Xenopus tropicalis: one gene and its partners. The protein of the gene in region 2 binds, or shares a complex with, the protein of the main gene of each other region. Links are inferred from orthologs where the notes say so. Each region holds a gene or a part of one and is shown on either strand. Other genes may lie near its edges.

Region 1 (10,565 bases), on a different chromosome or scaffold from region 2:
TAGAAAATTTGGCATGAAAAACAGACCATCAAATTCAACCTCTCAAAGTGTACTTGAAATGCCAGTGCATATTTTGAATCTCAGTCTGGACATGTTTCTTCCTTTGTACATGTAAATGGTGGTTAGTTGTAATTGTCTCATCTAGATTCTCTTGTTAATGTCAGTGCAGGAGATGACATGGCAGGAGATGAGAGATGCCAGGTGAAAATTCATTGCAGTAATAGGATCTTGAGTTTCACACCCCTTAAATATGTAATTTGTGTTAATTCAAACTAGATACAAATGATATATTTAAACAAAATGCAACAGTAAAAATAAACCTGGGCAAATAAAGACCAACAAAATCACAACACACACTGTACATGTTCCTATGCACTACACCTACATACAATTTTGCCATGACTATGCCATCCTTCCTATCAACGGGAGGTTCCCTTCAACAAGCTGCTACATGTTCTGTTTGTCTGCCAAGTTTCACCTCTGCCCTGAGATTTGTATGGTGTGTTTAACACACAGAACATGTGGAAACTTTTACTTGATGAACTATAATCATTTGTTCATTGATTCCTAATTTGCATCAGTATGTTTACGCTTAACACTTCAGGGCTCTTTTATAAAGGAAAGAGCCTTTTCCTTGTTTTGTGATTATTTATTTTACTTTGTTGATGGAACAGAATGGGGTTTGTTCATTCATAGTTGAATTCTATATATCTGTGCTTTTAGATGGCCCTTTATTATGCAGTAAAACTGTTTCCAGTTCCATAAGAATTGGGAAAAGAAAAACACCGTTACTGTATAACAGTCCAGGAATGTAAAAAACTGGATAGTTTTAGTAAAACAGAACAACCACAGTTTCAAATGCTACAGTATACAGAGCTTGCTTTATTTTTTAAGGCATTGCAATTAACCTGTTTAAGTTTTTTGAAGACTGGATGTTGTATGTAATAAAGCACTGTTGGACTGAGCTTCCTAAGGCCCACCAAAATAAGCTCAATATCTAGGGCCTGCCTAAGAAACATTAGATAAAATACACTAATCAGTATTGGTGCAACATGAAAATATGATGGAAAATGGTTCATGAGTAGAGAACCACATTTAAAAGGAGACAGAGAGAAGATGGAAAGGCATTTTGGCATTTTACTGCCTATAGGTTAGCCACATTAGTGCCACCTAGGACTCTATATATTTTCTGCAGAAAGCTTTACCATACCTGAGTAAAGAGCCCTAATAGCTCCTTCCGTTTAAGATAGTAACTGCCATTTTAGCTTGGTCTTTGTAGCTTCCTGCTGCAGCTCTAACTGTAGCTCAGATCACACATTCCTAAGGGAGGGGGGAGTGAGTTATTATGAATTATTATGGGAGGGGGAGCAGGAGAAGGGAGGGGGAGAGGGAGAGAGGCGAGAACTGCACAGGTTTGTGCCCCAAACCTAAAGGAGCCCTAACAGAGAGGAAATCTGATACTGAAGAACATGTTTACAAAAAAATGAGACAGGTAATCTGTGTTTCTTTTGATAGAGGACTCAGTGTAACTTTTCTGTGAGTGCTTATGGCTGTATTTACATAGACCTTTCTGATACAGCTTACTTAGTTTTTACCTTTTGTCCTTTAACTTTTCAACAGCTAAGTCTCTGGTCCCCGGGACCAGAAGCTCAGTAAGCAGAAGGGCTACCGCAACCCACTTCCATGCCTGCACCTTACCTAAAAGTTTTCTCAGCAGGCCCCCCTGTACTGGCTTGTACTACTTTTAGTACGCAGCCCCCCAGAGTGTGTCTGGGGGGCTGCATGGCCTAGTGCTGAAGCACTATTGCACTTAATGCAGGAGCAGTTCTGTGGGAGGGAAGCATACAGTGGATATTAAAAATCTACACACCCCTGATAAAATGTCAGGTTCCTGCGCTGTACAAAAATCATGGAAAGTTAAATCATTTCAGACCTTTTTCCACCTTTAATGTGACCTATAAACTGTACCACTCAATTGAAAAACAAACTGAAATCTTTTAGGTGGAGGGAAGAAAACCAAAAAAACTAAAATAATGTGGTTGCATAAGTGTGCACACCCTTAAACTAATACTTCGTTGAAGCACGTTTTGATTTTATTACAGCACTCAGTCTTTTTGGGTATGAGTCTATCAGCATGGCACATTTTGACTTTGCAAGATTTGCCCACTCTTCAAATCTGTCAGATTGCGAGCGCATCTCCTGTGCACAGCCCTCTTCAGATCACCCCACAGATTTTCAATCGGATTCAGGTCTGGGCTCTGGCTGGGCCATTCCAAAACTTTAATCTTCTTCCGGTGAAGCCATTCCCTTGTAAGAAAAGGCTTTCGTCTTGCCACTCTACCCCATAGCCCAGACATAAGAAGAATACAGGAGATTGTTGTCACATGTACCACACAGCCAGTACTTGCCAGTCCTGCAGCTCCTTTAATGTTACTGTAGGCCTCTTGGTAGCCTCCCTGACCATTTTGGAGGGACGTCCAGTTCTTGTTAATGTCACTGTTGTGCCATATTTTCTCCACTTGATGATGACTGTCTTCACTGTGTTCCATGGTATATCTAATGCCTTGGAAATTCTTTTGTACCCTTCTCCTGACTGATATCTTTTAACAATGAGATCCCTCTGATGCTTTGGAAGCTCTCTGTGGACCATGGCTTTTGCTGTGGGATGCGACTAAAAAAATGTCAGGAAAGACAAACTAGAGCAGCTGAACTTTATTTTGGGTTAATGAGAGGCACTTTAGATCATGGCAGGTGTATACTGACTCCTATTTAACATGATGTTGAATGTGATTGCTTAATTCTGAACACAGCTACATCCCCAGTTAGAAGAGGGTGTGCACACTTATATGCAACCACATTATTTAAGTTTTTTTGGTTTTCTTCCCTCCACCTAAAAAATTTCAGTTTGTTTTTCAATTGAGTGTTACAGTTTATAGGTCACATTAAAGGTGGAAAAAGTTCTGAAATGATTTATCTTTGTCTCATTTTTGTACAGTGCAGGAACCTGACATTTTACCAGGGGTGTGTAGACTTTTTATATCTACTGTATATAGTCATGGTACATTAATTTAATTTTCACTATGTTATATACTCAAAGTATATAGATATATGGTTATACCTTCAAACCAAAGGAAAGCTCCAACATAATAGCACTTTGTCAAATAGGCCAAATACAAAGGAAGCAGTAGCTATTAAATGGTATTCTCTTTTCTATCATAGGTTTAAAATCTTGCAATATATTACATGGGGATGCTCCACTGAAGTAAAATTGTTGCTGATTTTTGTATACACACTCCTCGTCTAGTTAGTTTTGAATCATATGAAATTTGGCAACAACGGGAACCAAATTTCCCAATTATCTTATATGTTTATGACATTATTGGGGTAAATTTCATTTTCCTTGTTTCTTCTATTGATTGTATCCATTCCCATTTCATTGGTGGAGGGTTTTTTCAATTTCCTAGGAACCAGTGTGCTTGCTGCTTGTAAATACTAATTTGTCTTGGACTATTCTTTTATTTACTCTAACAGAATAATGTTGATTCCATATTGTTGACATTATGAACACCTTTCTCCATCATGCCTCTGGCACTCAGAATACCATTTTTTTTAGACTGCTTAATATTTTTGGCACATGTGCATGTGAGACGTACAACGTGCTGGTGCGTTTTGTGCTCTTTTAACCCGGCACTTCTTCAGGCGACCTAAAAAACATTTTTTCCTAAAAGGATGTTATTTTTGCAATATATTATATGTATATCTATCTATATATATATATATAGAGAGAGAGAGAGAGAGAGAGAGAGAGATACACAAGACATACATTAAGACCATTGATTGCAAAAACATGGTCAGTGATGTCAACTCCATATTATAACTATGGGGCTTCCCTAGTGAGCAGGGCCTGAGGGCCAGTTAGGGCCCAACTGGGACAGATGTCTTTTTGCTCTTCTAATAATTCCTTGAGATCAGTTAGGGTGGGATTTTAAGTAGTCACTGGCTTACTGTCTTAGATATTACTGGAAACGTGGCTTTGATTAAGGCCCCGACCAAATGTTGCACCTTATTGAAATACCCTTAAAAATGTATTACACGATACTAATTCAGTCCCGTTTTTTTTTATTATTTTTGCGTTACGCTAAGAGTTAACTTAAAATAATGAATCGAAAGTCCCTTCAATGGTTCATTTGTTCCATAAAGCAGTAAGGTTGGCAGGCATCTGCTAACGACGACCGAGAGAGTATATAGATTCTTACAGCAGAACAAGCAAACAATTGCCATTTACCCGTGCAAATTGTTGGTAGGCGTGGTATACGCAAGAGGGCGTGGCTTTCTGCTCGACCATCTGAGGGCAGCCTAATCCGTGGCGGGAGCGCGCCGTGTTAGCGCGGGAGCAGTGACGCCACTCTTTGTGCCCGCGCACGCTCGCTCCCTCTGCAGTGTCTTTCTGTGGAAGTAGGGGGGGTGCGCGCACTCGGAGTACGGGGGACGGCGGCAGCTCCACAGAGATAAGGAGTGGGAAGCAGACCCGGTAAAGGAGCCGTCTTACCGGCGATAAAGGATTTTGTGACCTATCTTCCGGTATCCTGTGAGTGCGATAATTGGTGCGTCACAGTGGAAGCCGAACAGGAAGCGGCATAATAGCAAAGCGGATTCCCTCCTGGGGAAGGTGAGCGCGGCCCGTGTTCTATGAGATGGCAACACTGCATCGGGAGCCAGGATAGCTAAGCCACGGCCCTTCGGCTTTTGTCGTACCATGCAGATCGGGGATGCTGGGAGTTATGGTAGAGCTACATTTGGAGGGCCGCAGGTTGGACTCCGACGCTGTGTATAAATCCTGTCTCTCAGGCGCCCATGGGATAATGCACGGCAGGAGGAGGGGGTGGGGGAGCCCATATTGCTGTGTATGTGGGGGAAGGGTTAATGGATGTTTCCTACACGTGTGGCTATGACATATGTTTGCATACAGAGAAAGTGGCTGGCTGCTGCAGACCCCGACCTTTCTCTATTTGTTTTGTGGCTTTTTATGCAAATAATGTTGGCAAAAGGATTATATGGGTGTCTGCTTATAATGGTATGACATGGCAGCCCCATTGCTGTGGGTTTCTGCTCTTTCTTTCCTTCTGTCAAATACTCCCACATTGCATCATCAGCCCTGCTGCACTTGCACCTTATGGGTGTTCGGTGTTGAAGTGGCAATCTGGCAGCTCTGTCTGGCTAATGTAAATAATCAACACACCCTAACCGCATCATCAGCCATTTGTTAACCCCGGTCATTGTCCCTGCCTATGTAGCAGCCTGTATTGTTGCTTCTAGTGTTATTGTCTTGTTGCCAAACCAAGGCCTGTGGCCTAATCCCTCCTGTGTGTTTTCCCCTCCCCCTTTCCTGATCTGTGTCCTAATTCCCCCCCCCCCCCCCCAGAGAGAAATCACTCGCACTATAGCTGCCTTCCGTTCAATTGTACAAATCAAGGGGGTGCTGCTTCTTGTTGCAGACAATGCTTTTTTTGTGGATGTAGTGACATGTGATAGTTGCTGTGTTGTGAATCCTGGCATTTATGAATCCCCCCCCCCCCAGCTCTTGTACTACAATTCCCAACATTTGGCTGGAGTTGTACACCTATTTACATTATTTCCTTGTTGCTTATTATGGTTTAACAACTAGAGGAGGGGTTTAAGCGGACACCCTTAATTTCTTTCTCATAATTAATTATTTTTCATAAACACATGATTTCCAAAACATCCAATGAGAGTTGCATCCTGGGAATAGCACGGATTTAAGTGTAAGAGATGATGATGATGTACCTAATGCACAGTATCCTAGTACTCCTGCCCACATGTCGAAAACAGCGGTATTCATGTTGAGTTCTTGCGATGTAAAGGAATTTTTCTTTACAAACATTTCAGTTGTTGAGTGGTTATACCCTCTCTTTCGATAGCAAGAGTTATCAGTGCAGCCGCTAAGTGTGATGCATCCGGTCATAGCCTTGGAGTTGTTGTAACTGAGGAAGCACAAATGATTTCATTTATAGGTGATTGTTCTGTTTACTGTTTGTGATGCTGCTTAATTACTATAAATGATGCAACATTTGTGGCTTAATGAATTAATCCTCTGTTTTTAGATTGTCTGTTCAACAGCACTCGGATACATGCTTCATTAGGGTACGCACCTTTATTGTATATCTCTTCTTCCTTATGCAGCTCATTTTAAAGATTAAGTGATAAAGATGAGATGCAAAATGGTGCTGCTAACACATTTTTTTTTTTTAATGCTGTATTGAAAATATTTTTTGCTTTAGAGCTTAGAAGCTACAAAAAGCAATACATTTCTTAGAGCTGGTGGGTAGGAAGTTGTGTTGAGGTAAGGGATCTATTTTTTGGATACCCATTATTCTAAAAGCGTTGACATTACACAGTTTCCTCCTCAAGCAGACGGTTACTCACTTTTGATGGATTTGCCTTTCCTCTGCAATAAGACTATAACTGTTACTTGATTTTAAGCTAGCATAAATCCATGTTGGAAATCAATTCTATTAGTTATTTAATGTTTAAAGTGTTTTAAACATAAGGCCATGGTGCCTCATAGTGATAAAACACCCCTTAACCTGGAAAACTCCAGAACTATGAATAATCAATATTAATTCTCAAATGTATTTCTCTTCTGGTGCCCTTTTCCATTTTGTTTACAGTGAGTTTGTATTAACTATTTGCCTAGTGTTTTGTATAGGGATGCATGGAAATTAGCAATTTGGTATTCGTCCGAATCCCTTAATTCTTGGGTATGGATTCACCCAAACCTGGAAGTTCCCAAAGATGAAGTTGGAAACACCGGTGTGCACGCTTCGTGTACAAGGCAAATTTTCTCCACCAGATTAATTTTGGCCAGACTGCTAAAAGTAGCCAATTCAGTGCATTCCTAGTTTTACTTAAGATTATATATTGTTTTTGTTAATCTCTTAAAAGGAAGAAGGTTGTTTAATAAAGAGCTCCTTATATGTAAAGTTGGAAAGGGCTGGCCATGTTTTAGGCTGAGGGTACACAGAGTGTTTCCTCTCCTGCTCTTAGCCTGAGTTTTTTTTTTTTCTGGTTTCGCATTTTCAGATCAATTCTTACTCTGCTCTACTTTGTGTAGCTGGGCAGAGGCGGAAGCTGCACTTGTCAATGCAGTTTTACTGAGGTGCATAAGGGAGCGGATCCACTTCTGAAATAAACACAGTTTTAGGTAGAAATACTCAACGTGTGCCTGCACCTGAGCGTATTCAATGCTTTTTGGTGCAGGCACAAGGAAGGGCAAGCGTAGGGCAAGCGTAGGGCAAGCGTTTTTCGGCTTGCTGAGAATACGCAACGTGTGGCATTAGCCTTATGTGAACTGTTTATTATAGGGTAACATCAGCTGTTTACATTGCACACGCATGGGGCTTGGATAAAATGTTGGTACTGTATGCTTGTGTTCATGTGGGGCCCCAAAGTTTCTGATGGCAAGTCGCCGGCGGGATGGCAGACGCGGCGGGGCGATTCGCGCGAAATCGCTCCGCCGCATGTGCCATCCCGCCGGCGACTTACATGTTCGCCGGTGGGATGGCAGGGGTAGGCAACTCGGGGAGATTAGTCGCCCGCGAACAGGGAGTTAATCGCGGGCGACTAATCTCCCCCCGTGTGCCAGAGCCCTTAGCCCTACAGAGACCATTCTATCTTAAAAAAGCAAACTCCAGATTCCAAAGGGGGGATAGGGGGGTGGTAGCACAGCTTAAAACTACAAAATATATACACACACATATACCTTTTAAAAAAAAAAAAAAATGAACATATGTATGTATATAAGTGTATATTGATGCAGCCAATATCTGCCCTTTGTATGGGCACCTTGAAGGTGTAAATGATGTTGGAGGCATTGGCCACATTGTTTCTAGCAGGGACCCTAACCAGTAATAGTTCTGCCTGTGCTAGACAACAGCAGTGTGACTTATCTAGTATTGGCATTCAGGATCCTCATAGAAGCACTTACTTGTAACTGCAATTAAGTTTGTGATTCCCAGTTTATGCAGATATTAGACTGGTTTTATGTTAAGTTTAAATCCCCTTGAAGATAGAATTTTATGTTGTAAGGGGGTTTGCTTGGAATCTTATAAGCAGCCACCAGAAAGAGTAAAGACTATGGGTCACTAATGTCCACTCCATGTGCCATTGTTTGTCCAAGATAATCTGTTTTTTCATCCACAATCCCATTATTATATTATAGGATTACATGATAGCTTTTCACAGTTGCTGCTGGAGGGGTTTCCATGATGAGTGATGCTTTGAAAATAGTAAAAGTTTACCTTATTGCAACAGTCCCCAACCAATGGTTTGTGACATGTTGTCCCAGTGTCTTAAAAACAGGTGCCCATTTGTAATTTTTTAGCTTGGAGATAAGTTTGGAAGCACAGAGAGACATTTTTACTCCAATCAGAGCCTCCTGCTGTGGCAGCAGTGCACATGGAGCTATCAAGTAGCCAATCACAGCCCTTATTTTGCATCATCAAGGACCTTTTTTTTAATGCTTTTATGACTCGCCAACACTTTTACGTCTAAGCAAGTCTCACAAGTAAAAAAGTTTGGGGATCCCTGCCTTATTATATGTATGTTTATTATGTTTATGGCCCAGCTTTATAATTTACTGTATATCTTGATTGGTTTTATTTCTTTTTGTCTGTGCATCAGTTCAGATTTTGCCTTACCTTTATTAAGCAAATCGGTTGCGGGAGTGTGTAAAACAAAAAGCACTGGAACACTGTGTAAAACATAAATTTAAAAGAGAATGGGATGATTTGCAAATTGTTTATATCCTATATTCAATTGAAAATAGTACAGAAACAACATATTGTGTAGGAACTGATGCCCCTTCTGGTACCATTACATTTGAACTGTGCTCTGATAACAATGAGGATGGCCCTTAATTTCCGTGATGGCATCCATGATTTCCAAAAAGAATTTCAAATTCTTATTTATCAGAATGTCTTGCTGGATGGTACAGATGCATGGTAGAGTTTTTACTTGCATTTAGTATTTCAGGCCAGATATCGGTCGGGCAGGCCCGTCGTTAGTGCCTATACATGGGCCGATTAGCTGCCGAATCGGTCTAAGGGACCGATATTGACAGCTAGAATCGGCCCGTGTATGGGGACCTTAAGTGGCCCAGCCTCTCTGGGATCTGCTCTTTTTGGCCTTACACCCTGTCTTTTGTTGCCTCTGTCTCAATTTTCTTAAAAACATGTTAATGGCATTAAATTCAAAATGAGAATTTGCTTTTCAGCAACACTCCTTGGTTTCACGATATGTTGTCTTTGTACTACTTGCAATGCAATATAGGGTTTAAATGATATGCAACTCAACTTTTTGCAGTGTTCCAACTAAAAAAACTGTTTAATCCAATATGTTAGAATCCATGATAAAAATATTTGTGTACATTTTAAATTAGTATTATGTTTTATTGAGTTTTATTTGTTGATGTTGACTAAAATAATATAGTCATTGTAAAGCAATTATGTATTCTCTTGGTTTTTTTAAGCAGTATCCAATGTCAATTATATTTAGACCTGTTTACCCATAAAATATAACATTTTCCTTATGTGCCATTTTTTTCTCTTTTTGGTATAGTTTGTGGGTTGGATGTTGCCTTCAGGAAGAACGGAGTGCACAGGACAAGAAATCCAGTGTAAAATAGAGGTAGGGCGAATGAAACATGGAAAAAAATATGTGGAAAAAAAATGAGATAGATTTTAGAACAGTAATGCTTTTATGCTAGTGGCACGAATAACTTTCAAAAGCTTATAATATAAAGAAAATTTTAGTTTTAATGGATGCAGAGGTACTTTTTATATTATGGTGTTTCCACTTTCTTGGAATTGCTTTTGTCTAATTTACACTGTGTGTGTGTGTGTATATGTATGTATGCATATATACATGGAACATTGTAACAACACACAACATTGCAGTACCATCAGTGACATAATTTTTATTGGATATCAAAGTTGCTGCTCATTATGGTATAAAACATTTATATGCCCAGTTGCCATCAAGGGACAGCACATTTTAGGAGGAACAGCTATTTGAACTGGTGCTCATAACCACTACTTTTTTGTTTTGCTCTGTGCTCTTCCTGGTAATGGTAATGTTTTAGCAGTAACCTCAATAATTCACTATCATACACCAAGTTAATGCAGAGCACGCTTCCTGCTACCAGTACTACAAAGTGTGCAGCTGGTTTACTATGTTTATTGCATTGTTGGGTAATCACCAATATGTAATAATCTGCATAGCTCCTAGTATGGGTTTGAACAAAATGAGTAATCTCCACCCATGTAGATTAAATGGTACAAATGGAAACCCTTATTTTACAAGCAGTTTTTTACCATGTGCCTGGCCATAATTTGATAGTTTAATTTGTTGTAATGTGGTGCGGTTGTGTATAGGGTTGCCATCCCACGCGTTTTATTTTTAGGGATTCTGAAATAAAATTGTTAAAGGGCTTATATTGTTTGCTTTATTGTTACATAATACAGTGTAGAAATAGGAAATTTGTTGTT
Region 2 (10,641 bases):
CCTGAATTCTCTGCCGTCACTTAATCTTCTATTAGGCCCCACACAATGGGACGAACTGTCTAAAACAAGCTTCTGGGTAAATAAGCTGGAGGGAACAGAATCCCTCTCCCTTTCGAGTTCCCCTCCTTGGTCACACCTCCATTCCTCATCTTCATTTAGAGTAGGTAAATATCCAGAAGGCCCTTTCCCCGTCCCAGATGCCGAGCTCTGATCACTGTAATTTTTAGGACTTTCCCCACCAATAGTTGTATATTCTAAATATGTATCTGATTTAAGGAACACAGGATATGTATTGTCCTCCATCATGGACTGGATTTCCGTTTGGGCCTGGTCAAACATAGCTGGGTCTATCTGTTGCCTCAAAACGCAATCTTTTATGAAGCTTTTGGTCGCTGGTTTGATCTGCCGTGACACGATGCCGTTGCTGTCCAGAATGTATTTTTTGTAAATGGCTTTTGCCAGTTTTAGTCTCTTCTCCACTTTTGAGTCGTTGGGTTCCAGCTTCCGAAAGCCGCTGCATGCAAACCAGAAGTCCAGCAGGTCCGCACAGTTCTCTTGTTGCAAAAAAGTCCTGAACAAGTTAATCCCATCCTGATCGTCCAAAAGAGAGTGCAACGACTCAGCCCATTTTAGGTACGGAGGTGTCGGGGAAGCACTACCTTCAGGCTCATAGCCCAAGTCTAGGTCTGGTCTCCTAGGGGTGGCTGTTGAGGTTTCGTTTTTGATCCCATCGTTTTTCAGAGAGTAGTAACTGTGGCTGAAGGGTCTTTGATCTGTTGTAATCAGTTCTCCTTCCTCGCCAGGAACTGGTGGCCTAGGTGCATCTTCAGTAAAGCTTCCCCCTAGGTCCAAAGGGAAACCTTTCCCTTTGACACTCATTTTGATGGCGTTTGTATACACAGTGATGAATAAAACACTGATTCAGAATATGGACATCGTAAATAGAAGGTCCCAGGTAAAAGTATGCCTCCTGCCAAGAAAAAAAAACAAAGAAACATTTAGAAGTCAGTAGGAAAAAGATAATTAAGTTCCGCTTACTCATTATACTGTTGCATTTCATTAAAGGGGAACTCCACCCAAAACAGTATTTACACCTAATAAAAACAAATATAATTCTAAGCAACTTTCCTATTACATTCATGACACATATTTAGTGGCTTTAGAGTTATCTGCAGGGTGAAGACACACAGAGCTACTAGTAGCAGCTACTTGTCCCTGCTACTAAAATAGACAATGCTGATCATTTACTGATAACTGTCTCTACATGTGTCTTAATCTCCTCGCAATGCCAACCTACCGGCATGAATGTAAATCGGCGGTGGGATGGCATACACGTCACTTAGTTTTCCTGAAGTCGCCCAAAGTTTTCTTGAGAGGCAACTTCGGGAAAATGAATCATCACGTATGCCATCCCATTGGCAATTTACGTTCTTGCCAGTGGGATGGTATTGCGGGGAGATTAGTCGCCCGCAGTAACGAAGATCTGTCACGGCGCAACTAATCTCCCCATTTGCCACTGCCCTTAGAAGAGGCAATTCTCAGTTGTCTATTGGCAGGGTATTTTATGTTGTTTAGTAGCTGTGAAAAAGTAGCAAATACTAGTAGCCCGTGTGTCTTCACCCTTAGTGTAACTTTTGTTAATAACAGAATCTGTGGGGCAGTTCTGAGTCTTTGCACTGCTGGTTCTGTCTCCTAAAAATGCAGCAGAAGCCAGCTCACTAACAAGACCCTGAGGATAACCGACATATGTTACATTGTTTCAAGAGTCAGAACCAGAAAGCAAAAAGCGATAAACAGAATGCCATTTCCATTTACCTAGTCAAGAGCCCAACATGAATGAATTATGGAAGTGCGTATTTGAAGTGTGTGGCTGGCAAGTGATCCTCTGGGATGCCACTGCTGCCAAGGTTAAGCTGCAAATAGTCTGGGGCCAGCAATGAAAGCGACAATTGCCAAACAGAAATGGACTTATCTTACACGACTATCACAGACCGGCAGTTGGGTTTATTGCAGTTGAGTAACACAATAGAAGCTTTAGTGAAAACCTGTGACAATGCCAGTCCTCGTTGGGCAACTGCAGCAGTGACACTAATTTTTGAATGCAAAAACAACTTGCAGCCACTGTTCATAATATAGTCACACACCCAGTTGGGACTGAACGTGTAGTGAGCTTGAAGACCAGAGGAAGCGTGCCAGCTAGAAAGCAGCTGTAGCAATAGCACATAATAGCAAGCATAGCGGGCATCGTTAACTGCCCAGCCACAATTACCCATAGCCAGCAAGGCACAATACAGCTGGATATTGCAGCAGCCATCATTGACTGCCCAGATACAATTACCCATAGCCAGCAAGGCACAATACAGCTGGATATTGCAGCGGCCATCATTGACTGCCCAGCCACAATTACCCATAGCCAGCAAGGCACAATACAGCTGGATATTGCAGCAGCCATCATTGACTGCCCAGATACAATTACCCATAGCCAGCAAGGCACAATACAGCTGGATATTGCAGCGGCCATCATTGACTGCCCAGCCACAATTACCCATAGCCAGCAAGGCACAATACAGCTGGATATTGCAGAGGCCATCATTGACTGCCCAGCCACAATTACCCATAGCCAGCAAGGCACAATACAGCTGGATATTGCAGCGGCCATCACTAACTGCCCAGCCACTATTACCCATAGCCAGCAAGGCACAATACAGCTGGATATTGCAGCGGCCATCACTAACTGCCCAGCCACAATTACCCATAGCCAGCAAGGCACAATACAGCTGGATACTGCAGAGGACAAGGGTTGCTCGCAAGGTGTGTTCGTGAGTGTGACGCCAAATGTTCTTGTGTATCAGACTTAGAGGCTCCCTGGGATTCCCCCCCTGCTCGAGGCATACCCAGATAGGCTGTATCTGAATGAATGAACCTGCTATTGCCAGGGCCATTAAAGCTATTGGTACTTTGAACCGTGCCGCAGAGATAAACAGCATAAAGCAATAACCAGGGACACTAAAATACTATATTACCCATCCCAAGACATGCAACTGCTCACGTTCTACTCCTCAGCACCACTAGGCGACATCACCTTCTGCCCGGCAATCCCTTTTACTGTTTCCAGTGGGGGCTATAATAGACTAACTCGCCACACACACAGTGTAAAAATCCTCTTTCTAGCCAGCTACATGTGTCTGCATTCCTTTTCTCTGGTTCCGACTCCTGAAACAAGTTAGTTCTGCTCTCGATAGTTTCTGCTATACTGATTCAGAAGTCAGAGCCAGCAGTGCAGAGAATACAAACACCCAGGCAGCGTTTTTCCATACCAATTACATTTACACATAACTTCAAAACCAATGACATTTATGAATGTATATACTGCTTACAGTTACATGTCAGTTACAACGAAAATATATTTTAAATATCTATCTCTCCTTGATAACTATAAGACTTCTGTATAATGTGTCAAAAATACAAATATTATATAACAAAGAAGTTGCTGGTCCTGAGAGTTCTAATTCCAATTTGATATATACTATACATATATATTTTCTTTTTTACACACATCACATTACACATATATTCACTTTTTTTTTTTTTATAAATAGACATTTCCCCCCCAACAATGAGGATAGATTTCTTTGGTCAGACCAAAAGCAGATATAATAAGTCAGGAGTGGGCACACAGCCTTGCAGGATTATTTGCAAATGATCAGTATATATCAGTAATATACCAAGCACTGGGTGCCGATGGATCAGGTAGGCAGGTAGGAACACAAGAAACAGGGTCCCCCACACCCCCAAGGCGTCTGGCTACGGCATTCAGATTCTGACATGCACAGAATGCGGAGAACTTCTGCCCCCAATATATATTGGGCACCATGGAAAGTGCTAATGCATGAACTGACAATACCCCACACTCCCACGGTACCTTAGCATTTCTTACATAAAACTGCAGTTGTAACGAAAACTATAAAGCCAATCATACCCCCAACCCACACATAAACTGGCTTAGTCCCTACAGCAGCAATGAGCAACCTGTGGCCCTGCGGGTATTGCCACAGCAGCCCCCCTGTTTCCTTAAGGGTGAGAAGCCCAAGGTAGGTGATGGAACACAGTGAGCAATGGTCAATAAACACCTTGCTGAACTACAATTCCCACCCATGGTGAAACTGCCGGACAACCCACAGAATACAATTCCCACCATGATCGATTTAATGGTCAAGACACTCAGAGCTACTAGTAGCAGCAACTAAAATAGACAATGCTGATAATTTACTGATAATTGTCTCTATGTGTGTTTTAGAAGACAATTCTCAGTATTGTCTATGGCAGTGGCAGCTACCTAAGGGTGAAGACACATGGAGCTACTTAGTAGCAGCTTCTTGTCATGGCTGCAAAACACCAGAAAACACCCTGACAATACTAAGAATTGCCTCTGCTAAAACACACGCAGAGACAATTATCAGTAAATGATCAGCATTGTTTATTTTTGTAGCCATGACAAGTAGCTGCTACTAGTAGCTCCGTGTGTCTTCACCCTAATACTGCACTGCTGCTGATTCTCCAGCGTTTGTAGCCACAGTGCATTTGCTAGTGAAACAACTCCCATCACCCCGCTATGCAGAAGTCAGAGCCAGCAGTGCAGAGAATACAAACATCCAGGCAGCGTTTTTCCATACCAATTACATTTACACATAACTTCAAAACCACTGTCTATGGCAGTGGCAGCTACTAGTAGTTCTGTGTCTTCACCCTAAGGGTGAAGACACATGGAGCTACTTAGTAGCAGCTTCTTGTCATGGCTGCAAAACACCAGAAAATACCCTGACAATACTGAGAATTGCCTCTGTTAAAACACACGTAGAGACAATTATCAGTAAATGATCAGCATTGTCTATTTTTGTAGCCGTGACAAGTAGCTGCTACTAGTAGCTCCGTGTGTCTTTACCCTTAGGGTGAAGACACACTGAGCTACTAGTAGCAGCTACTTTTTCATGGCTACTAAACTCTAGAAAATCCCCTGCCATAGACAATACAGAGAATTGCCTCTGCTAAAACACACGTAGAGACAATTATCAGTAAATGATCAGCATTGTCTATAATAGTAGCCGTGACAAGTAGCTGCTACTAGTAGCTCCGTGTGTCTTCACCCTAATACCGCACTGCTGTGGATTCTCCATCGTTTGCAGCCACAGTGCATTTGCCAGTGAAACAACTCCCATCACCCCACTAACAGCTTATCACGTAGATAAGTTGTCTCCCCCCCATTAATGATGGGATCCCTGCAAAATAGTCCCCCCCCCCCAGATATAGTAAGGATGTAGTAAAGCCCCAGTAAAGCTGACAGATATCCCCCATACAGCCCTGTGGATGATGCTGAATTAAAACTCCCAGTAACCCCTCTGAGCCCAGAGATGTAGTCATTCAGTGTCTGGTGATGTTCATCCCTGGGACTACATTTCCCAGCATGCTCTAGCAGAAAAGCAAAGCATTCAGAGCCCCAATGTTGGGAATAAGGGCAGCAGAGCAACCTGTGATGGACTCTATTACCACAGCCACGTACAGGGCCACAGGGTTCCCATGCATGCCTATAGACGGGCCAGGGTACGGGGCTTCCCAGTAAGATGCGGCCCAGCGGTACTGGCAAAGCCGGGGCCTGGCCTACAAACTGGATCCGTCCGCCTCTCCTGGAAAGTTTCCTCCCCCCGTTCCTCTCACACACACACAGACAGACAGAGAGCCGTGTGGCCTTGCTCCTCACCCAGGCAGCCCTGAGCCGGCTCTTGTGCCCAGCCGTTCCGGGCCCTCTCCCTCCGCTCCGCAGCCACCCATCAAGCTTCCAGCTGGAGCCGCCACCGCGCAGGGATACTCGGGAAACAGGAGAGCGCAGAGCGCCGGGATGCGGCCATGCCCCGGACAGTGCGATACACAGTGAGTGAGTGTGTGAGAGAAACACCGTGCACGGCACCCGCGGGAGTGCGCATTGGCGTGCCCGCGCCTCACATGCGCGGCCCCGCAGCTTCTCGCGATTTTTCCCGCCCCGCTGGTACGCGCAGTCATGTGACTCCAAGCAGCTCTCCGCTTTTTACCTCAGGGATGCGCTCCCCGGCTCTAATATGGGGTGTCTGTGAGGTGGGAATAGTATATGTAGGGCAGCCATGGGCCCTAGGGCCCCAGTGTGGGAGGGTTCTCTGAGGAGGGATGGTAAGAGTTGGTGAGGAAGCTTTTGGGCTGTAGCTCCCACAAGAACTACTCTGGTTATGGGGTGAATTGTGGTCCTGTAGTGTATGTCCTAGTATTCCAAAGCTAGCCAATGGCTGCCAGGGGGGGGCTGGGAGTTGTGGTTTTTAATGTAGGTAATGTCTCCCAGCCTTCTATTGGTGGGAATATTGAGGCAACTAAAGTAACAATCACGCTTTGGGGCCCGTCTATCGAAGTCCGAATTCTGGACTTCAATAGAAAAAAATTCGTATTAAATCCGATAATTTATGATGTGCGTTAAAAACGCGAAAAATTTGTATCGTGGTCATACGTAAATATTGTGGTACGGTCCGAATGATCGTAAATGGCGCGAAAACCTTTCTAACTTTGAAACCTTCTGTGCATGATTTTGGAAGCCTCCCATAGGGCTTAATGGCACTCTGCAGCTCCAACCCGGCCCAAGGAAAGTCTCCCATAGGGCTCAATGGCACTCTGCAGCTCCAACCCGGCCCAAGGAAAGTCTCCCATAGGGCTCAATGGCACTCTGCAGCTCCAACCCGGCCCAAGGAAAGTCTCCCATAGGACTCAATGGCACTCTGCAGCTCCAACCCGGCCCAAGGAAAGAGTGCCATTGAGCCCTATGGGAGACTTTCCTTGGGCCGGGTTGGAGCTGCAGAGTGCCATTGAGCCCTATGGGAGACTTTCCTTGGGCCGGGTTGGAGCTGCAGAGTGCCATTGAGCCCTATGGGAGACTTTCCTTGGGCCGGGTTGGAGCTGCAGAGTGCCATTGAGCCCTATGGGAGACTTTCCTTGGGCCGGGTTGGAGCTGCAGAGTGCCATTGAGCCCTATGGGAGACTTTCCTTGGGCCGGGTTGGAGCTGCAGAGTGCCATTGAGCCCTATGGGAGGCTTTCCTTGGGCCGGGTTGGAGCTGCAGAGTGCCATTGAGCCCTATGGGAGACTGTCCTTGGGCCAGGTTGGAGCTGCAGAGTGCCATTGAGCCCTATGGGAGACTTTCCTTGGGCCAGGTTGGAGCTGCAGAGTGCCATTGAGCCCTATGGGAGACTTTCCTTGGGTCGGGTTGGAGCTGCAGAGTGCCATTGAGCCCTATGGGAGGCTTTCCTTGGGCCAGGTTGGAGCTGCAGAGTGCCATTGAGCCCTATGGGTGACTTTCCTTGGGCGGGGTTGGAGCTGCAGAGTGCCATTGAGCCTTATGGGAGACTTTCCTTGGCCGGGTTGGAGCTGCAGAGTGCCATTGAGCCCTATGGGAGGCTTTCCTTGGGCCGGGTTGGAGCTGCAGAGTGCCATTGAGCCCTATGGGAGACTTTCCTTGGGTCGGGTTGGAGCTGCAGAGTGCCATTGAGCCCTATGGGAGACTTTCCTTGGGCCGGGTTGGAGCTGCAGAGTGCCATTGAGTCCTATGGGAGACTTTCCTTGGGTCGGGTTGGAGCTGCAGAGTGCCATTGAGCCCTATGGGAGACTTTCCTTGGGCCAGGTTGGAGCTGCAGAGTGCCATTGAGCCCTATGGGAGACTTTCCTTGGGCCAGGTTGGAGCTGCAGAGTGCCATTGAGCCCTATGGGAGACTTTCCTTGGGCCGGGTTGGAGCTGCAGAGTGCCATTGAGCCCTATGGGAGACTTTCATTGGGTCGGGTTGGAGCTGCAGAGTGCCATTGAGTCCTATGGGAGGCTTCCAAAATCATGCACTGAAGTTTCAAAGTCAGAAAGGGTTTTGCGCCGTTTACTATCGTTGGGATATGAAAATTTCAGAACTTTTGGACTGTACGTATGAAATTTTCATATTCAAACGAAAATAATTTTCGTGACATTTCCGATCTTCAGAAATGATTGGATTTCGTGATTCGGATTCTTACCTTAGTGAATCGGCCCCTTTGTGTCTCACAGTATGTTTCTGCTAGGCAATGGCCGACATGGAGGACCTGGGAGTTAGGGGCTTCAATGTATGTAGTTTCCCCCACCCTTCCATTGGTGGGGCCCCTGTATGGTGGAAATTTTGAGGCAACAATCACACTTTGTGGTAGTCAGTGGCTGCTAGGGAGGTTCTGGGACTTGTGGTTTTCATTTAGGTAATTTCCCACCTTCCATTGGTGCGGTCTCTGAAAGGTGGGAATAGTGAGGCAACAAAGGTTACGGTAACGCGTCCTATCAATGCCACCCAGCCTGTGTGGCCCTTCGCTTGTTTTCCCGCTAGCGCTGCATTTGGCCGGTATGGCAGGGGGAAGGCATACGATTTGCTGTAGCACCAAGGAAATCACCCTGGAGCATGTATGTCTATAGGCGCGTCCGCCATTGCTGCGCTGAGCCGCAGTGTAACAGAAGCCAGGTCTCCAGGTCTGTTAAAGAGCTGGTTTGTGCTACATTATTTCAGGCACCCCAACCTGCAGTACAGAGAATATAAACAGACAGATTCTGCTTTTAAAAGCAATTCCATTCACGCCTAACTTAAAAAAAACTAATGAGGGTATATTGGAAAGTAGCTTAGGACAGTATTTTTTATTTAATTAAGAGCACTGAACAGACCATGAAGCCAAAATGGCTCAGCCACTCCAACTCCACTCAACCTTTCCCAGGCACATTAAAAGATACATGGCTCCTGAATCTGTTTGGGCAGTTGCAAAAACACCTACGGCCTGGCCATAGATTTGGCCTCACACCTGCTGGATAGAAAGTGAATGCACCCATGACTAATTGGGGCGTTGTGCCTTTAAAAGGTAACCCACTATCCCACTGACAGCTTTCAGATACACCTTGTATTCTTATTGCACTTTCCATGCCCCCAGCCTCTGACCCCTTTATAAAGAATAGGCCACCTGTTGGGTGCTCTTTCATATACAGCTCACCTGGAATGCATATTAAAACTGCTAATAAGGGCTGCCATTTATCCTGTAGATTAAGAGAGGGGCTCACCTACGCCTTTGAACACAGGTTGGCATAGCAACTAGCAGAAAAACAGGTATTGTGCGTAAAAATATTCATAGGTCTTTTAGCAAAGCAAGCATGTGGCATTTTTCTATTGGGTATACATTGTACTAACCATCAAAGATCTTAGCTACAAGCTTTGAAGGATTGATACCCCCTAAAACGAAGGGTTCCTAACATATTGCCACCCTGCCCCCCCATGATTAACCCTTTTGTTTTCTTTTAAGTTTGGTAAAAGGCTACCCACAATGTGGCCTCTAATTGGAATTATCTGATTATTTAGCCCCAAGTCCAGATCGGATTGTACTGCAGGCCCATAAAGACCTCATGGGATAGGACCACCTCAACTTACTGAAGCTGGTGGAACTTTGAAATCTGACCAGTAGATATGTGGCTAATGTTCAGCCAGATATCGGTCAAGTAGGCTGCTGGGTGGGCCCCATACGCATACCAATCTGGAGGGGCTGGTCAGTAGCTTTTATCAGCCAGTATTTGGGCCTGTTCTAAAGTCGTCTTCCTTCTCTGTAAAACAGCAGGTTCTTTGTACTTTATGACTGAAATCCTAGCTATCTTTATATCATAGCTTTTAGATTACAGTGGTCACGTTTCAAATAAAACCAGGACCAGCCTAAAGCCATTTCGACCTATTTGGCCCCATCAGGCCCCCTCACAGCAGCATACCTCCCTGCCCCAACTGCCCACTCCCGGAGTCTTTGTTCAGAGATGAGACCGTGACATTACATCATATAAATCACACCCGTCTGGAGGTAAGTATTGAGGAAACTTCCTAAAACCCAGTGTTTATCCTTCAGGATTTTTAATTGGCCACAAGACTAATTAGAAAGTTGCGAGGCAACTTTGGCGATTTCCCGAAATCGCTCTGCCGCATGTGCCATCCTACCGGGGACTTACATTGTCGCCGGTGGGATGGCAAGTGGCGTAAACTCCCCGTGTGCCAGAGCCCTTAATGGACATGGAAAACAAACTGTTTTGTTTTCTTTTGCATGTTAATTGAAAATTCAGTTTTATGAAACTTCTCCAATGTCCATTCATTACAAAATTGTTCTGTGGTTTTAAAGAAATGCGTAAATTTATTGTTTATATTCTCTGTACTGAGGACTCTGACTCCTGAAACGATGTATCAGAAGCCAGCTGATTCACAGACCTGCAGGAGAACACACTAAAGGTCTTTAGAGCGGGGTCTTTGTTCACGTGCAAAACAATCTGGAAGGGTCAGTTGAGATGTGTGTGTGACAGGCAGAAGTTCTGAATATGAGACAAGTCGTAATGGACAGAGAGCCTAACAACAACATGAAGAGGAAGTTAAGGCTTAAGAACGACAGAGGCATTATAATTGGCCACAGGTGTCGCTGGCTCGTGATTCCGGCTATGATCAGCCGACATGGGAAAATAATGAGATGCTGGTCTAACTGAGCTGCGGCCATGAAGACTAAATCATGTGCTCTTACCCGGAAATCTCTGCAAACACAGGTTTGATATCATTACGAC
Region 3 (10,633 bases), on a different chromosome or scaffold from region 2:
CTGCCCCTTCCACACACAGTATATACCCCACTAACTGCCCCTTCCACACACAGTATATACCCTACTAACTGCCCCTTCCACACACACAGTATATACCCCACTAACTGCCCCTTCCACACACAGTATATACCCCACTAACTGCCCCCTTCCACACACAGTATATACCCCACTAACTGCCCCTTCCACACACAGTATATACCCCACTAACTGCCCCTTCCACACACAGTATATACCCCACTAACTGCCCCTTCCACACACAGTATATACCCCACTAACTGCCCCTTCCACACACAGTATATACCCCACTAACTGCCCCCTTCCACACACACACACAGTATATACCCCACTAACTGCCCCTTCCACACACAGTATATACCTCACTAACTGCCCCTTACACACACACAGTATATACCCCACTAACTGCCCCTTCCACACACACAGTATATACCCCACTAACTGCCCCTTCCACACACAGTATATACCCCACTAACTGCCCCCTTCCACACACAGTATATACCCCACTAACTGCCCCTTCCACACACAGTATATACCCCACTAACTGCCCCTTCCACACACAGTATATACCCCACTAACTGCCCCTTCCACACACAGTATATACCCCACTAACTGCCCCTTCCACACACAGTATATACCCCACTAACTGCCCCCTTCCACACACACACAGTATATACCCCACTAACTGCCCCTTCCACACACAGTATATACCCCACTAACTGCCCCTTACACACACACAGTATATACCCCACTAACTGCCCCTTCCACACACAGTATATACCTCACTAACTGCCCCTTACACACACACAGTATATACCCCACTAACTGCCCCTTCCACACACAGTATATACCCCACTAACTGCCCCTTCCACACACAGTATATACCCCACTAACTGCCCCTTCCACACACAGTATATACCCCACTAACTGCCCCTTCCACACACAGTATATACCCTACTAACTGCCCCCTTCCACACACAGTATATACCCCACTAACTGCCCCTTCCACACACACAGTATATACCCCACTAACTGCCCCCTTCCACACACAGTATATACCCCACTAACTGCCCCTTCCACACACAGTATATACCCCACCAACTGCCCCTTACACACACAGTATATACCCCACTAACTGCCCCTTCCACACACAGTATATACCCCACTAACTGCCCCTTCCACACACAGTATATACCCCACTAACTGCCCCCTTCCACACACAGTATATACCCCACTAACTGCCCCCTTCCACACACAGTATATACCTCACTAACTGCCCCTTCCACACACAGTATATACCCCACTAACTGCCCCTTCCACACACAGTATATACCCCACTAACTGCCCCTTCCACACACAGTATATACCCCACTAACTGCCCCCTTCCACACACACACAGTATATACCCCACTAACTGCCCCTTCCACACACAGTATATACCTCACTAACTGCCCCTTACACACACACAGTATATACCCCACTAACTGCCCCTTCCACACACACAGTATATACCCCACTAACTGCCCCTTCCACACACAGTATATACCCCACTAACTGCCCCCTTCCACACACAGTATATACCCCACTAACTGCCCCTTCCACACACAGTATATACCCCACTAACTGCCCCTTCCACACACAGTATATACCCCACTAACTGCCCCTTCCACACACAGTATATACCCCACTAACTGCCCCCTTCCACACACACACAGTATATACCCCACTAACTGCCCCTTCCACACACAGTATATACCTCACTAACTGCCCCTTACACACACACAGTATATACCCCACTAACTGCCCCTTCCACACACAGTATATACCCCACTAACTGCCCCTTCCACACACAGTATATACCCCACTAACTGCCCCTTCCACACACAGTATATACCCCACTAACTGCCCCTTCCACACACAGTATATACCCTACTAACTGCCCCCTTCCACACACAGTATATACCCCACTAACTGCCCCTTCCACACACACAGTATATACCCCACTAACTGCCCCCTTCCACACACAGTATATACCCCACTAACTGCCCCTTCCACACACAGTATATACCCCACCAACTGCCCCTTACACACACAGTATATACCCCACTAACTGCCCCTTCCACACACAGTATATACCCCACTAACTGCCCCTTCCACACACAGTATATACCCCACTAACTGCCCCCTTCCACACACAGTATATACCCCACTAACTGCCCCCTTCCACACACAGTATATACCCCACTAACTGCCCCCTTCCACACACAGTATATACCTCACTAACTGCCCCTTCCACACACAGTATATACCCCACTAACTGCCCCCTTACACACACAGTATATACCCTACTAACTGCCCCTTCCACACACACAGTATATACCCCACTAACTGCCCCCTTCCACACACAGTATATACCCCACTAACTGCCCCTTCCACACACAGTATATACCCCACTAACTGCCCCTTCCACACACAGTATATACCCCACTAACTGCCCCTTCCACACACAGTATATACCCCACTAACTGCCCCTTCCACACACACAGTATATACCCCACTAACTGCCCCTTCCACACACAGTATATACCCCACTAACTGCCCCTTCCACACACACAGTATATACCCCACTAACTGCCCCCTTCCACACACAGTATATACCCTACTAACTGCCCCTTCCACACACACAGTATATACCCCACTAACTGCCCCTTCCACACACAGTATATACCCCACTAACTGCCCCTTCCACACACAGTATATACCCCACTAACTGCCCCTTCCACACACACAGTATATACCCCACTAACTGCCCCTTCCACACACAGTATATACCTCACTAACTGCCCCTTCCACACACACAGTATATACCCCACTAACTGCCCCTTCCACACACAGTATATACCCCACTAACTGCCCCTTCCACACACAGTATATACCCCACTAACTGCCCCTTACACACAGTATATACCCCACTAACTGCCCCTTACACACAGTATATACCCCACTAACTGCCCCTTCCACACACAGTATATACCCCACTAACTGCCCCTTCCACACACAGTATATACCCCACTAACTGCCCCTTACACACACAGTATATACCCTACTAACTGCCCCCTTCCACACACAGTATATACCCTACTAACTGCCCCTTCCACACACAGTATATACCCCACTAACTGCCCCTTCCACACACACAGTATATACCCCACTAACTGCCCCTTCCACACACAGTATATACCCCACTAACTGCCCCTTCCACACACACAGTATATACCCCACTAACTGCCCCTTCCACACACAGTATATACCTCACTAACTGCCCCTTCCACACACAGTATATACCCCACTAACTGCCCCTTCCACACACAGTATATACCCCACTAACTGCCCCTTCCACACACAGTATATACCCCACTAACTGCCCCTTCCACACACACAGTATATACCCCACTAACTGCCCCTTCCACACACACAGTATATACCCCACTAACTGCCCCTTCCACACACAGTATATACCCCAATAATTGCCCCCCCACTACCTGTTATACCTTTTTAACTGCCCCGTCCATGTGTTATTTACCCCAAACCTTGGAAACTACCCCCCCCGGGGTAACTATCTCCCGTTGCCCCCCAAGCTTCTGCCCCAACATATTGAGCCCCAGTTTGATCCAAGTGCCCCATCCGCCCCTGGGAAGGGCAGTTTTGTCCCATTCTGCCCCAATTACCCCACCGGCCCGACCTACCCCTCCCCACACGACTCACCTTCAGGACTGGCCTCCCCCATGGTGGTTTCCAGCATCTCCGAGCCCTGATACCCCCTCCGGGGCAGAAACAGACTCCGTCACACGATCGTCTCCGGCCAGGGGATGGAACAGCTCCAACTGCCCCTCCTAGGGGCAAATGTTCAGGCCCTACTGCCCCCCTCACTAACAGAAGTACCCCCCCACCCCGGGGCTTATACCCTGCCACTTGGGCTGCTACCCCTCCCGAACCGCCTGCTCTCCCGTCGCAGGGAACACCAGAGATGTAGTTCAGCCGCCGGCGCAAAGCATTACGGTCCTTGTAGTTCAAGAACCATGGTCACTCCCCAACGAAAAAGCCAAGTTCTCCGAATAAGAACTACAACTCCCAGGAAACCTTGCGCAACTGAGCCCTCCCAGCAGCCCCCGCGCTTAGCTATTAATCAGCACAGAAAGGGAGGGGCGTGAAGCGCATGCGCATTAGGGACCGAGGCGTCGTGATGCATGCTGGGAAATGTAGTTTGCGTCCTCTACCCGCTGTTGGGCGTGACCAGCGCCGTAAGTTTTGTCCCGCCCTTGGCGCTAGCGGAAAGCGCTGTCTGTGGGAAGTGCGTGGTGCGACAACGTAACGGCAATTTGCAGAGTCTTGTGATTGGCCCCTGTGGGCCTGTCAGAGAGGCGTCTCCTAGTTAGTCCCGCCCCGCAAGTGCGTCATTCCGTCACACGCCGCTCTGGGGAGCTGCTGGGATTCGTGGGCGGTAGAGGCCGCAGCGGGTAGTACGGGAGGCCGGGGCTTGGGGTTGCGCTAGGCCGCAGGATGGCGGAGACTAAAGTCATTTACCATCTGGACGAGGAGGAGACCCCGTACCTGGTGAAGGTTCCGGTCCCGGCCAATGAGATCCGCCTGCGGGACTTCAAGGCTGCGCTGGGCCGGGGCCACGCCAAATATTTCTTCAAGGCCATGGACCAGGACTTCGGGTACGCCCCTCCCCTGTGGCCCCTGGGGGTCATGCCCCGCCCCTTCAGGCCTGCCCTCCTGCTGCTTCTTCTGCAGCCCTAATGTCTACCTGATAACTGCCCCACTAACTGCCCCTACTACTGATATTTACCCCTCAGCCCTAATGTCTGCCTGATAACTGCCCCACTAACTGCCCCTACTACTGATATTTACCCCTCAGCCCTAATGTCTGCCTGATAACTGCCCCCAGTAACTGCCCCCAGTAACTGCCCCCAGTAACTGCCCCCAGTAACTGCCCCCACTACTGATATTTACCCCTCAGCCCTAATGTCTGCCTGATAACTGCCCCACTAACTGCCCCTACTACTGATATTTACCCCTCAGCCCTAATGTCTGCCTGATAACTGCCCCCAGTAACTGCCCCCAGTAACTGCCCCCAGTAACTGCCCCCACTACTGATATTTACCCCTCAGCCCTAATGTCTGCCTGATAACTGCCCCACTAACTGCCCCTACTACTGATATTTACCCCTCAGCCCTAATGTCTGCCTGATAACTGCCCCACTAACTGCCCCCTGCTACTGTTATTTACCCCTCACCCCTAATGTCTGCCTGATAACTGCCCCACTAACTGCCCCTACTACTGATATTTACCCCTCAGCCCTAATGTCTGCCTGATAACTGCCCCACTAACTGCCCCACTAACTGCCCCTACTACTGATATTTACCCCTCAGCCCTAATGTCTGCCTGATAACTGCCCCACTAACTGCCCCTACTACTGATATTTACCCCTCAGCCCTAATGTCTGCCTGATAACTGCCCCACTAACTGCCCCTACTACTGATATTTACCCCTCAGCCCTAATGTCTGCCTGATAACTGCCCCACTAACTGCCCCCACTACTGATATTTACCCCCTCACCCCTAATGTCTGCCTGATAACTGCCCCACTAACTGCCCCCACTACTGATATTTACCCCTCAGCCCTAATGTCTGCCTGATAACTGCCCCAGTAACTGCCCCTACTACTGATATTTACCTCTCAGCCCTAATGTCTGCCTGATAACTGCCCCAGTAACTGCCCCCTGCTACTGTTATTTACCCCTCACCCCTAATGTCTGCCTGATAACTGCCCCAGTAACTGCCCCTACTACTGATATTTACCCCTCAGCCCTAATGTCTGCCTGATAACTGCCCCACTAACTGCCCCCACTACTGATATTTACCCCTCAGCCCTAATGTCTGCCCCACTAACTGCCCCTCTAACTGCCCCTACTACTGATATTTACCCCTCAGCCCTAATGTCTGCCCCACTAACTGCCCCTACTACTGATATTTACCCCTCACCCCTAATATCTGCCTGATAACTGCCCCAGTAACTGCCCCTACTACTGTTATTTACCCCTCAGCCCTAATGTCTGCCCCACTAACTGCCCCCACTACTGATAATTACCCCTCAGCCCTAATGTCTGCCTGATAATTGCCCCCACTAACTGCCCCACTAACTGCCCCTACAACTGATATTTACCCCTCACCCCTAATGTCTGCCTGATAACTGCCCCAGTAACTGCCCCCTGCTACTGTTATTTACCCCTCACCCCTAATGTCTGCCTGATAACTGCCCCCACTAACTGCCCCAGTAACTGCCCCTACTACTGATATTTACCCCTCACCCCTAATGTCTGCCTGATAACTGCCCCAGTAACTGCCCCCTGCTACTGATATTTACCCCTCAGCCCTAATGTCTGCCTGATAACTGCCCCACTAACTGCCCCCACTACTGTTATTTACCCCTCAGCCCTAATGTCTGCCTGATAACTGCCCCACTAACTGCCCCTACTACTGATATTTACCCCTCAGCCCTAATGTCTGCCTGATAACTGCCCCACTAACTGCCCCTACTACTGATATTTACCCCCTCACCCCTAATGTCTGCCTGATAACTGCCCCCAGTAACTGCCCCCAGTAACTGCCCCCAGTAACTGCCCCCAGTAACTGCCCCCAGTAACTGCCCCCAGTAACTGCCCCCAGTAACTGCCCCCAGTAACTGCCCCAGTAACTGCCCCCACTACTGTTATTTACCCCTCAGCCCTCAGCCCTAATGTCTGCCTGATAACTGCCCCACTAACTGCCCCTACTACTGATATTTACCCCCTCACCCCTAATGTCTGCCTGATAACTGCCCCAGTAACTGCCCCCAGTAACTGCCCCCAGTAACTGCCCCCAGTAACTGCCCCCAGTAACTGCCCCCAGTAACTGCCCCCAGTAACTGCCCCCACTACTGTTATTTACCCCTCAGCCCTAATGTCTGCCTGATAACTGCCCCACTAACTGCCCCTACTACTGATATTTACCCCTCAGCCCTAATGTCTGCCTGATAACTGCCCCAGTAACTGCCCACTGCCCCTACTACTGTTATGTACCCCCTCAGCCCTAATGTCTGCCTCATAACTGCCCCTACCAATGTTATGTACCCCCTCAGTCCTAATATCTGGTACAGCTTATTGTGTGCCCAGAACATTCCCTCTCTGTATATTTGTATTTATACATATGGGTAGGAGGTGCCATAGTGTTTCCCTTAGACAGTACAGTATGGGGGTACAGCTTATTGTGTGCCCAGAACATTCCCTCTCTGTATATTTGTATTTATACATATGGGTAGGGGGTGCCATAGTGTTTCCCTTAGACAGTACAGTATGGGGGCGGAGCTTATTGTGTGCCCAGAACATTCCCTCTCTGTATATTTGTATTTATACATATGGGTAGGAGGTGCCATAGTGTTTCCCTTAGACAGTACAGTATGGGGGTACAGCTTATTGTGTGCCCAGAACATTCCTTCTCTGTATATTTGTATTTATACATATGGGTAGGGGGTGCCATAGTGTTTCCCTTAGACAGTACAGTATGGGGGTACAGCTTATTGTGTGCCCAGAACATTCCTTCTCTGTATATTTGTATTTATACATATGGGTAGGGGGTGCCATAGTGTTTCCCTTAGACAGTACAGTATGGGGGTACAGCTTATTGTGTGCCCAGAACATTCCTTCTCTGTATATTTGTATTTATACATATGGGTAGGGGGTGCCATAGTGTTTCCCTTAGACAGTACAGTATGGGGGTACAGCTTATTGTGTGCCCAGAACATTCCTTCTCTGTATATTTGTATTTATACATATGGGTAGGGAGGTGCCATAGTGTTTCCCTTAGACAGTACAGTATGGGGGTACAGCTTATTGTGTGCCCAGAACATTCCTTCTCTGTATATTTGTATTTATACATATGGGTAGGGGGTGCCATAGTGTTTCCCTTAGACAGTACAGTATGGGGGCGGAGCTTATTGTGTGCCCAGAACATTCCCTCTCTGTATATTTGTATTTATACATATGGGTAGGGGGTGCCATAGTGTTTCCCTTAGACAGTACAGTATGGGGGCGGAGCTTATTGTGTGCCCAGAACATTCCCTCTCTGTATATTTGTATTTATACATATGGGTAGGAGGTGCCATAGTGTTTCCCTTAGACAGTACAGTATGGGGGTACAGCTTATTGTGTGCCCAGAACATTCCCTCTCTGTATATTTGTATTTATACATATGGGTAGGGGGTGCCATAGTGTTTCCCTTAGACAGTACAGTATGGGGGTACAGCTTATTGTGTGCCCAGAACATTCCTTCTCTGTATATTTGTATTTATACATATGGGTAGGGGGTGCCATAGTGTTTCCCTTAGACAGTACAGTATGGGGGTACAGCTTATTGTGTGCCCAGAACATTCCCTCTCTGTATATTTGTATTTATACATATGGGTAGGGGGTGCCATAGTGTTTCCCTTAGACAGTACAGTATGGGGGCGGAGCTTATTGTGTGCCCAGAACATTCCCTCTCTGTATATTTGTAGGAATAGGAGGTGCCTTATGACCCCTATGGGGGTAATTACCTCTCTAATCTCATTGCAGGGTAGTTAAGGAGGAGATATCGGATGACAATGCCAAGCTGCCCTGCTTTAATGGCCGTGTGGTGTCGTGGGTAAGTGCCCGGTACCCCCCCCCCCCCCCCTCTGTTCCTGGGTGAGGCCTTCTGGGAAATACCCCATAGCACTTCTTTTGCCTAAATGTCATTCTGATCCCCTTCCCTATATCCATTCCTCATTCTCTGCACTGCTGGTTCTGACTCCTGATACAACTCCCCAATACCCATTCATCCCTCATTCTCACTGGGTTTATAGTTATGTGTAACTGTCACTGTGTCTGTCCCTTTCCCTTCCCTGCACTGCTGGTTCTGACTCCTGATACAACTCCCCAATACCCATTCATCCCTCATTCTCACTGGGTTTATAGTTATGTGTAACTGTCACTGTCCCTTTCCCTTCCCTGCACTGCTGGTTCTGACTCCTGATACAACTCCCCAATATCCATTCATCCCTCATTCTCACTGGGTTTATAGTTATGTGTAACTGTCACTGTCCCTTTCCCTTCTCTGCACTGCTGGTTCTGACTCCTGATACAACTCCCCAATATCCATTCATCCCTCATTCTCACTGGGTTTATAGTTATGTGTAACTGTCACTGTCCCTTTCCCTTCCCTGCACTGCTGGTTCTGACTCCTGATACAACTCCCCAATATCCATTCATCCCTCATTCTCACTGGGTTTATAGTTATGTGTAACTGTCACTGTGTCTGTCCCTTTCCCTTCCCTGCACTGCTGGTTCTGACTCCTGATACAACTCCCCAATATCCATTCATTCCTCATTCTCACTGGGTTTATAGTTATGTGTAACTGTCACTGTGTCTGTCCCTTTCCCTTCCCTGCACTGCTGGTTCTGACTCCTGATACAACTCCCCAATATCCATTCATCCCTCATTCTCACTGGGTTTATAGTTATGTGTAACTGTGTCTGTCCCTTTCCCTTCCCTGCACTGCTGGTTCTGACTCCTGATACAACTCCCCAATATCCATTCATCCCTCATTCTCACTGGGTTTATAGTTATGTGTAACTGTCACTGTGTCTGTCCCTTTCCCTTCCCTGCACTGCTGGTTCTGACTCCTGATACAACTCCCCAATATCCATTCATCCCTCATTCTCACTGGGTTTATAGTTATGTGTAACTGTCACTGTCCCTTTCCCTTCCCTGCACTGCTGGTTCTGACTCCTGATACAACTCCCCAATATCCATTCATTCCTCATTCTCACTGGGTTTATAGTTATGTGTAACTGTCACTGTGTCTGTCCCTTTCCCTTCCCTGCACTGCTGGTTCTGACTCCTGATACAACTCCCCAATACCCATTCATCCCTCATTCTCACTGGGTTTATAGTTATGTGTAACTGTCACTGTGTCTGTCCCTTTCCCTTCCCTGCACTGCTGGTTCTGACTCCTGATACAACTCCCCAATACCCATTCATCCCTCATTCTCACTGGGTTTATAGTTATGTGTAACTGTCACTGTGTCTGTCCCTTTCCCTTCCCTGCACTGCTGGTTCTGACTCCTGATACAACTCCCCAATATCCATTCATCCCTCATTCTCACTGGGTTTATAGTTATGTGTAACTGTCACTGTGTCTGTCCCTTTCCCTTCCCTGCACTGCTGGTTCTGACTCCTGATACAACTCCCCAATATCCATTCATTCCTCATTCTCACTGGGTTTATAGTTATGTGTAACTGTCACTGTGTCTGTCCCTTTCCCTTCCCTGCACTGCTGGTTCTGACTCCTGATACAACTCCCCAATATCCATTCATCCCTCATTCTCACTGGGTTTATAGTTATGTGTAACTGTCACTGTGTCTGTCCCTTTCCCTTCCCTGCACTGCTGGTTCTGACTCCTGATACAACTCCCCAATATCCATTCATTCCTCATTCTCACTGGGTTTATAGTTATGTGCCGGTTGGGTGCCTGTGTGGCGCCGGTTGGGTGCCTGTG

Evidence for each region. Proteins that work in one complex are often made in the same cells at the same time.
Region 1: the proteins of axin1 (region 2) and siah1 are in contact, whole or in part, in a crystal structure (PDB 5WZZ), measured with the Homo sapiens proteins. The link is inferred for Xenopus tropicalis from reciprocal best matches to the Homo sapiens genes AXIN1 and SIAH1. Residues at the interface, in NP_003493.1 of Homo sapiens: Pro378, Lys379, Glu380, Val381, Arg382, Val383, Glu384, Pro385, Gln386, Lys387; in NP_003022.3 of Homo sapiens: Cys130, Pro131, Ser154, Thr156, Leu158, Asp162, Ile163, Val164, Phe165, Leu166, Ala167, Thr168, Asp169, Val176, Asp177, Trp178, Val179, Met180, Asn272.
Region 3: the proteins of axin1 (region 2) and dvl2 are in contact, whole or in part, in a crystal structure (PDB 6JCK), measured with the Homo sapiens proteins. The link is inferred for Xenopus tropicalis from reciprocal best matches to the Homo sapiens genes AXIN1 and DVL2. Residues at the interface, in NP_003493.1 of Homo sapiens: Arg821, Tyr823, Lys825, Lys826, Glu830, Phe831, Val835, Val836, Phe837, Glu838, Glu839, Lys857, Glu859, Asp862; in NP_004413.1 of Homo sapiens: Lys15, Ile17, Tyr18, Glu23, Glu24, Thr25, Pro26, Tyr27, Leu28, Val29, Val46, Leu47, Gln48, Arg49, Pro50, Phe81, Arg84.

The regions. Positions count from the first base shown.
Region 1 is NC_030680.2:74,031,918-74,042,482, forward strand, and holds the start of siah1 (E3 ubiquitin-protein ligase SIAH1), read left to right. Parts: upstream 1-4,460; 5' UTR 4,461-4,669; exon of another isoform or gene 4,670-4,810; intron 4,811-6,127; exon of another isoform or gene 6,128-6,162; intron 6,163-9,636; 5' UTR 9,637-9,705; intron 9,706-10,565. UniProt on the Homo sapiens protein: E3 ubiquitin-protein ligase that mediates ubiquitination and subsequent proteasomal degradation of target proteins.
Region 2 is NC_030685.2:15,098,742-15,109,382, forward strand, and holds the start of axin1 (axin-1), read right to left. Parts: upstream 6,047-10,641; 5' UTR 5,756-6,046; intron 971-5,755; 5' UTR 880-970; coding exon 2-879; intron 1-1. UniProt on the Homo sapiens protein: Component of the beta-catenin destruction complex required for regulating CTNNB1 levels through phosphorylation and ubiquitination, and modulating Wnt-signaling.
Region 3 is NC_030679.2:153,298,049-153,308,681, reverse strand, and holds the start of dvl2 (segment polarity protein dishevelled homolog DVL-2), read left to right. Parts: upstream 1-4,528; 5' UTR 4,529-4,575; coding exon 4,576-4,736; intron 4,737-8,668; coding exon 8,669-8,738; intron 8,739-10,633. Other genes in the region: phf23 (PHD finger protein 23A), read right to left, coding at 3,781-3,817.